2 linked regions of the Sus scrofa genome follow. The protein of the gene in region 1 purifies or fractionates together with the protein of each later gene. This does not show direct contact. Links are inferred from orthologs where the notes say so. Each region holds a gene or a part of one and is shown on either strand. Other genes may lie near its edges. The genes, in order: RNF139 and INSIG1.

The links.
Region 2: the proteins of RNF139 (region 1) and INSIG1 purify together in Homo sapiens (affinity purification with western blotting, with the first as the bait; 3 studies listed by BioGRID). This does not show direct contact. The link is inferred for Sus scrofa from reciprocal best matches to the Homo sapiens genes RNF139 and INSIG1.

What each region holds. Positions count from the first base shown.
Region 1 is NC_010446.5:15,179,882-15,183,786, forward strand, and holds the start of RNF139 (E3 ubiquitin-protein ligase RNF139), read right to left. Parts: upstream 2,640-3,905; 5' UTR 2,227-2,639; coding exon 2,046-2,226; intron 1-2,045. UniProt on the Homo sapiens protein: E3-ubiquitin ligase; acts as a negative regulator of cell proliferation through mechanisms involving G2/M arrest and cell death.
Region 2 is NC_010460.4:2,896,084-2,899,988, forward strand, and holds the start of INSIG1 (insulin-induced gene 1 protein), read right to left. Parts: upstream 2,676-3,905; 5' UTR 2,600-2,675; intron 1,981-2,599; 5' UTR 1,959-1,980; coding exon 1,550-1,958; intron 1-1,549. UniProt on the Homo sapiens protein: Oxysterol-binding protein that mediates feedback control of cholesterol synthesis by controlling both endoplasmic reticulum to Golgi transport of SCAP and degradation of HMGCR.

The sequences.
Region 1 (3,905 bases):
AGCACATGAAAGGCAGGGCTACACTCCTGGCAAAGTAATAACCCAGCCTCAAACCCCCACTCCCCAACTCTACTACTCCACCATGGCCTCCTCCCTCTTCTCAAAGCAGAAATGGGGGATGCTCCTTCTCCCACCCTTAAGTCCATGTTACTTTTGGCTTTAGTGCCCCCAAACAACACTTGGTTATCCTAAATTTCATAAAGTTTCCTAGAAGTCTTTTAGCTTCCAATGTCTTACTAGCAAGCTTTCTCCTGATGTGGGGTTGAGGAACAGAAACAACCATCTTCTCCACTTTTCTGTCTCCCCATCCCAGAAATCAGCACAGGTCCTGACTGCAATGTCCTCCAATTAATGTGGATAGATGTGGGGGGAGGGGCTGGCAAGGCTATCTGGGCTGGCTCAGCTGGGACCACCTTTCTATAATGAGATAAGTAACTGCCTGTTAATTTATGATCGTGATGAGTGACTTCTGGCGGGAATAAAATGCCTTCCCAACAGGTCCCCATTCTTATTAATTTCATTGTTAACGTTATTTAACTAACCTTACTTTTGCCCAGAATTAAGCAAAATACATAAAACGTGTGAAGTACCAACATTAAAGCTAATGCTTTCTATCTGACGTATAATTGACACACAGCATTAGTCTCAGGTGTACAACACAATGACTCACTATTTGTATACACTGGAAATCACAAAGCTTCATTTCTGCCACACATAATGAGGGCATTACACTTTTTCAGCCTTAAGTAGGAATGGCTGGGATTAAGTACCCGGTAGGGTACCGACAACTCCCGTGCTAAGGAACATCATGTCCATCCACATCTGCTAATATACGATCAGCATATGATCATTACGATACCATTCTGTATCTGGACTGCAGCTGTGCTGAAGAGGAAAATGAATGAGGCCTGATGTCAGAAGACTTAAAGCTAGGCTCTGGCAACCAATTACTTACAGTGTATCAAACGCAAAACACAACCTCTAGGACCCTAAGTTTCCTCATTTGTAAACCACCACCACCCACCCTTCTTTGAGGGATTTTTGTAGTTTGGGTTAGATAACACTAGTGAAAACGCACTGCAAAAGTACCAAACAAAGGCAAAGTGCTGCTATTTACTAAAAGCAAAGCTCACCATTACCACACTTTCTTTTAAAAGGAGGAAAAAACCTGCAACAGATGGCTCCCCATTCAGAAAGGCCTGGTAAGGATCTCACCAGCAGCTCATCCTAGCAACACTTCAAAAGCACTACCCCACTAAAAGCTGACACAAGAATTACCTCATCAACAAAATTCGCCAAGTTTCAATTACTTAAAAAATTCTAAGCATAAACGTTTCTCACTCTGGGAGTGCAAGTGAAGATAGGGAGGGAAGTATAAGATGTTTTTAACATTCCATTCGTACACGACGAAGACAATGATTTTCAGAAGTGTCATCACTTCCTAGCCACGTTTTTATAACCGTTCTCAGTATCTTCCCTATTCGCGGGAAATTTTAGGACTCATTATAAGTACTGCCTGCTTCACGAGGATTTTTGGTAATGGTTTCAAGGTCTGACATTCGAAACCTTGTCTCCTCCGTTTGGATGTCATTTAAATGGCAACATAAGAGTACTCTGCATTTTGGAAACCGGGAAACTGAGGCCCAGGCTTTGGCTCCACGAGCCCAAGGTCACGCACTGCGAGACGGGGCAAAAACAGTTGCTGTTTTTCCAAAGCTGTCGCATAGGACGCGGTAAACCAGTACTCATTTCCCAAGAGAAACAGCAGGCTCAAAGCCGCACGCTCACACATTGATGTTTTCTCCCAGCCCTTAGAGGCAAAAATGAACAGGAGGCTGAGTCGCTGGGAGGACTGCTCCGCTGTCAAGTCTGAGACAAGTGTCATCTCCTCCCCTGGCTTGCAAAGACGCCCCCGGGGGGGGCTGGTGTGTGTACATACACACATACACACACACACACCCTGCGCGCGGCCGCCCGCCCGCTCCCTGCAGCACGTCTCGGCCCAGCGGGCAGTCTCCGGACGCAGGCTACCCAGTCCCCCTTACCAAAGAGCCGGAGGAAGACCTGGAGCCCGAAGCAAAACCGGCTTTGGCTGGAATCGTAGTAGGAGTTGAAGATGGCGTCGATGATGTAAAGGCAGGGCACCCGGAGCGCCACTTCGAGCGCCGCCCAGACCTGCTGATGGGCCATCCGCACCTGCTGCTGCGGGGGCCCCACCGCCGCCATGAGCCGCTGCCACACCGGGGCTGGGCGGGCCCGGCAGGGCCGCGTGGGGCAGGGCCCGGGACGCCGGCTGGGGGCGGAGGCGGGCGACTCCGCCCCGCCCTCCCTCCTCTCGAGTCTTTCTCACGGCCCGCCCCGCCGCCCGCTCGCGTCTCTCGAGCTGGAGCAGGCGGCGGAGGCGGCGGCTGAGGCTGCGGCGGCGGCTTCCGGGAGGCCTCTGGGTGTCGGTGTTTCCGGCCGGCTATCGCCTGGCTCCTCCCCCCTCCACCGCCTCCCCCGCCCGCGGAGCCACCATCTTGACCTCGCCCGCCTGCCTCTGCCGTTGTTGCTGTTGCCAGGCCGGGAGGCTGCGCTCGCGGTTACGCGAGACCGCGGAGCCCGCGCGCCGACGTCGCGTCATAATCCGGCGCTTGGAACGCTCCCCATTCGGTCATCACGCTCGTCGTACCAGACGTCCCTGAGCGTTGCCGCGGTTCCCGCCCACCTCCGCGGCTGCGCCGTCGTCACGGCTTTGGGCGCCACCTGTTGGCGCAGACGCTCTTCCGCAGCCGCGCCCTCTGGCCTCAGAGTGGCCGCGTCACCCACGGCGGTGAAGGCTCAGTGAGGGATTGGGCCGCGGGAGGGAATTATTAGTCGCTCTACTAGAGACCATTAAACGTCCCGTAAACATGATATAGAGCTGCTAGGAAGGAGGAAAGACAAAGGGCGCCGAACGTCAGACCTACCCCACCCCACCCAAAGGCGGGATCCGAGCTGCTGACTCTTCGGGGAAGATGCTGCAAGGCCGTTTGGGGACCTGTTGGAGGCATCGCCGCATGCGCAGTGCTGAGTGGCTGCTGTTTTGGGTTGGGCTGGGTGCGGTAGGCATTACCAAGGAAAGTAGCCCTCGCATCCCTCTGCGCATCAACTTTCCTGTTTCCTACCCGATTGGTTACAACTGCGGACACTTGCTGGCCACATTTTACTAATATCAAGGGCCACTGTAACTTAAGGGCAAGAATTCTGGCCTCTTCGTTTCTAACCTTTGAGGTATGCACGCCCAGGCAGTCCGTTCTTTCTCAGGGCAGAAGAAGCCATTCTTTTTTGTAGGGAATCAGAACATGCCACCCCAAAGTATGCCACTTTGACATGATTATGTTTGAGTTGAAGACAGTTGAGAAACAGAAACAAAAAACTCTCCACCTCAGCACTTAACCGTCCTCCCATTTGCCTAAAAAGCGAACATAAGTTTCCATTTTGTAAAGGTGACTCCCTCTCCTTTACCAAAAGGAAACTTGTAGACTCAGTCACAAGTCTTACCAATCCTTATCTTTATTAGTTTCCCCCACATACTTACCTTACACAAGTTTGCCACCCCTAAAAGCCTAAACTCCTTTTCCTTTGTCTTATCACTTCTCTACAATGCACTGTTCTTTGTTAAGAAGCTTTATAAGCCCCAAATTGTAGCCACCTGAGTTGTCGATCACTTAGTTTCTCCAAGCCTGTATACACCGGAGAAACTTGTTATTCTCCTGTTAATCTCTTTTGTTGGTTTAGTTTTAGGGTCCCAGCAACAAACCTAGGAAGGAAAAGATCTAAATTTGTTGCCTATACATGTAATTAATATAACCTGGCTATCCTTTCTGTTCCTTAACCAGCAGGAGTGTAAGTTAGGTCAGAGTCTTAATTATAAACCAAGACAG
Region 2 (3,905 bases), on another chromosome or scaffold:
AAGTTGTGTTTCAGATATGCCTGGAATTCCTTGAAGCTTCAATTGCAAATCAAGCCTAAACTAAAATGGTTCAGTGGTTTTAAAAATCAAGCTTTTGATTCAAAGAAACTATTGTGCCAAATGTGAATAGAAAGAGATGTTTCTCCAAAAGGATTAAGAGTAGAGCCATGAACTTAAAGGGGTTAGAAAAACAACAGTAGCCAGTGTTTCTGAGAACAAAGAGAAAAACCTTCCACTCTCTGCTTCATCACCATAGTGTCCCCGTCATGAGGCATCCTGCCTAGGACACAAGCTCCACTCCAAGCCCACTGCTTCCTTGCAGTTTGAAGTGAGCCTGCTGAGAAGACGCCCCTCTCCAGGGTGCAGGGGACACACCCAGACTCCAGGGGGCAGTATAGGCAGGGTTGCGAACGGGGACCTGTCACTCCGCTGTGCCCCTGCAGACACAGGAGCTTCACCTCTCTGATTCAGTTCTCGCCTCTGTGCAGTGGCGCTGAAGCAGAGCACTGCTGAAAGGACCAAAGGAAGCACAGCCTACGGAACAGGAGGCAGGGCGCTCGTTCCCTGGTGGCCCGTGGGGCCGACGTGGCGCTTTCACCGCTGCAGCCGGGGTTCAGTCCCTGGTCTGGGAACTGAGACCCCACATCAAGTGGCTACGCACCGCGGCCAAAAAAAGAAGAAAAAAGGAGAAAGATCAGAGCCCGCGAGGTCGGCAGTTCACAGAGGGGAGCTACAACGCGAGGCTGTCCGACGGGAGTGTCTGCTCCGTGCTTTACAGCCAGGCGGGCGGAGGCCACAGAGAGCACCCGGCAGGTGTCCATTCATCCATTAATTCGTCCACAGCAAATGCTGTGTGACCGGAAGAACTGAGTGACCTTCTGAGCCATTTTTATAAAACCAAATAACTGAGCAACCAAATAACTGAGCAACTCTACTCCAAACAGCCAGTCCACCTGTCCACAGCAGACTGCTGCCCCGGGGTCACGACTGGGTCTGGCCAGGGTGGCTCCTGTCCAAACTCTAAACAGAGACTTCCTTTTCCTTCATCCCAGAGCCCAGCGGTGGGGGCAAGGCCAGGCTCTGGCCACGTTCACTGGGCTGTTCCAAAAAAGGAAGAGCAGGAGGCCGCTGGGCTGGGGCAGCAGCTCTGCCCACTGGGCCCACGTGACGGTTTGTTTTCAGTTACCGGGCCGGTAGCGTGTTCCCCGGGGCAGCCAATGGCACTCCAGCCCCGCCGCTCACCAGTCCTGCCCGCGGCCAATCCGGGCAGCTGGTTAGGATGACAGCTGCGGGGCTCCCCCAGCACTGGCCTCAGGGCCGGGTCAGGAAGAGGGAAGGACCTGGCCAGCCTGGCACGAGCGGGCGAGAAGCAGCCAGTGGCCTCCCCGCCATCTCCACCACCGGGCCTCCTCCAGCCTCCAAGCCCCCTCCCCAAACACAGTCGCTGGGATGCACAGTCTCCTCTGTGGATGGTTCCATTTTCACACAAATGGTTCCCACAGGCTGAAAACCGCTTTTCACCAGACAGACGTCGTTTGTTTCTACTCACCAGCGGCCGTCCCACAGCAGGGAGGGACCCACCAGGCTGAGGAGAAGATGGTGGCAATAACCTCCTCGGGGAACAGGGTGACATTCCTCTGGACCTGCAGCAGGTTCAGCACCAGGGCCAGCACGACCCCCACCGAGAACAGCACCAGGCTCCTCTGCAGCAGGTGGTGATGCCAGCTGTTGGTGTGGCCGCTGCCACCATGGCTCCCCATGCCAGTGCTCTGAGGCGCATGAGAGGGGTCAGGGCCCTGGGCACCGTGGGCCACCAGCAGAGAGGGGCCTGACACAGAGGAGCTGATCATCTCCCCCACTTTGGCCTCCTGCCCTCTGGCACTGGCCCTGGGGTGGCCTCTGTGGTTCGTGCCCTTAACACAGGGACAGCTCCAGAGGTGGTCGTCCAGTCTGGGCATCAGCCACACCTGACAGGCTTTCCTAGAAGGAAAACGGGGGTGGGGAGAGGGAATCCCGATCAAGTTCACTTCCAAGGGACAGGGCAGGTTCAGAGAGGCCCAGAGACATGGCTCTGGGCACGTTCACTGGCCAGGAAAACCCCCGAGTCTCAGGGAGTCAGCCGCACAGGGTAGCCCACGGGCAAGTACTGCGGGGGAGGGGCTGCAAGGACCCTGTCCACACCCGGGCCCTGGGTGATGCACAGGCTGCAGCCACAGCCAGGTGTTAGCTACACCTGGGTGATCCCGCTGCAGTACCTCCTTGTATGAGCCCTGAAGTTCTGGGCCGTACAGTCCAAAAGTTTTTCAGAATCCGCCCGTCTGCAGGAGGCAGAGGCCAGCCAGCGGCAGGCCGCCCCAGGACAAGTTGCTGGGGTCGTCCCGGACGGAGAACAGCCCTGGCAGAGCCCACCTGATGTCGGGGATGCAGTCCCCCACCCCGCGGCTGGGGCTGGAGTCAGGGTGCGCACCCAGGCCCGAGGGTGGGTGCTGAGGACCCCAATGGAAGGCCGTCTAGAGGGGCGGCTGCCGGGACCTCGACATCCCCGTCCCCAGGGCTCCCCACCGCTCCCGGCCCAGTTTCCCTTGCCGCACCCTCGTACCTGGCCAAGGGCGCCCGCCCGCGGGCTCGCCGGGGGAGGAGGTCGCCGAGGAGAGTCGCGGCCCAGAACGCCTGGAGTTGAGCCCGCGGCCGTCCACGCGCGGCGCAGCTTATAAGGCGGGCGGTGATACCGCTGCTCACGTGACCCCGGCCGGGCCCGCCACCCCGCCCGCGCTCTCGGGGCGTGGCCCATGCGCGCCCCGCCCCGGCCGCGCGCACGGCCGCTCACGGTCTGGTGAGGCGGCCGCGGCCAATCGTGGGCGGGCGGCCCATATGACGTCATCACACGCCACCGCCGCCCCGAGCTCGGCGCACTGGCTCGGGAGCGCGGACGGCCGGCGGCGGACTGGCTGTTCCCGGCCCGGGACGGGGGCTGGAACTGGGCGCGGCCGGACGGGGCGGGGGCGGGGGCCGCACCGACGGCAGGCAGGGGTCGGCCGAGAGCATCCGGGGCCCCGGGTGGGAGGCGCCCCGCGCAGGTTCCCGGCGGACCGCGGAGAGAGGGCGATTTCCAGGGATTGGCAGCCGCGGGCCTGGAGTCCGGCGGCTGAACAGCTAGGTCGCCGGACCCTCACCCAGGCGTGGCGGTTGGCAAGCCTCTCCCCTGCGGCCGCTCCACTTGGTCACTCTGCAGCCGCCTGTGCCCTGAAGATGCTCTGACCTCTGGTCCTTGTCAGCTCTCTCAGTGGTGGCCGCACCTGCTCATGCAAAGCGGGTTCGTGTGCGCAGCGACCAGCAGGTGCTGGCAGGGAGCGAGGGCTCGGAGACGAGAGCTGTGTATGCTGCGTGCAAGGATCTAGGTGTTGTTAAGGGTGCTTTTATGTTTTTCTGCCACCAGCGTGGTTCAGAAAACTTTTCTGACATAAAATACTTACGAAAATGTAAATGATGAAATCGTCATTCATAAAATCGTTTCTTCTCGTTTCGAATTGTCTTTCAGTGGGAAACAAACCATCAGAACCACTTAGAAAAAATAGAACGCTGTTTTATCTTGTTGATGTAATGTATTTATATCCTGTTTGCCCCATGGTCACACCATCTAAATAGCAGGGCAGGCCCTGTGCCACCTGGAAACCCACATTTTGTTGAGCAAGATACTTAAGATGTCCTGGAAAGACAGTAGAGCAAGTGTGCGGCCTTTTCTCTCTGCAGGTGAGAGGAAGTCTGTGCTCTAATAGGGTCAAGAGAGCTCACAGGCTTAGGCGGTGTCAAGTACTGCATTGTGTGGCATCGTACCTCAGGGTTTGTGGTTTTTATGGCAGAAGGTTGGAAAAAACCTTCCTGAGGTATCAACATTTCTCAGACTT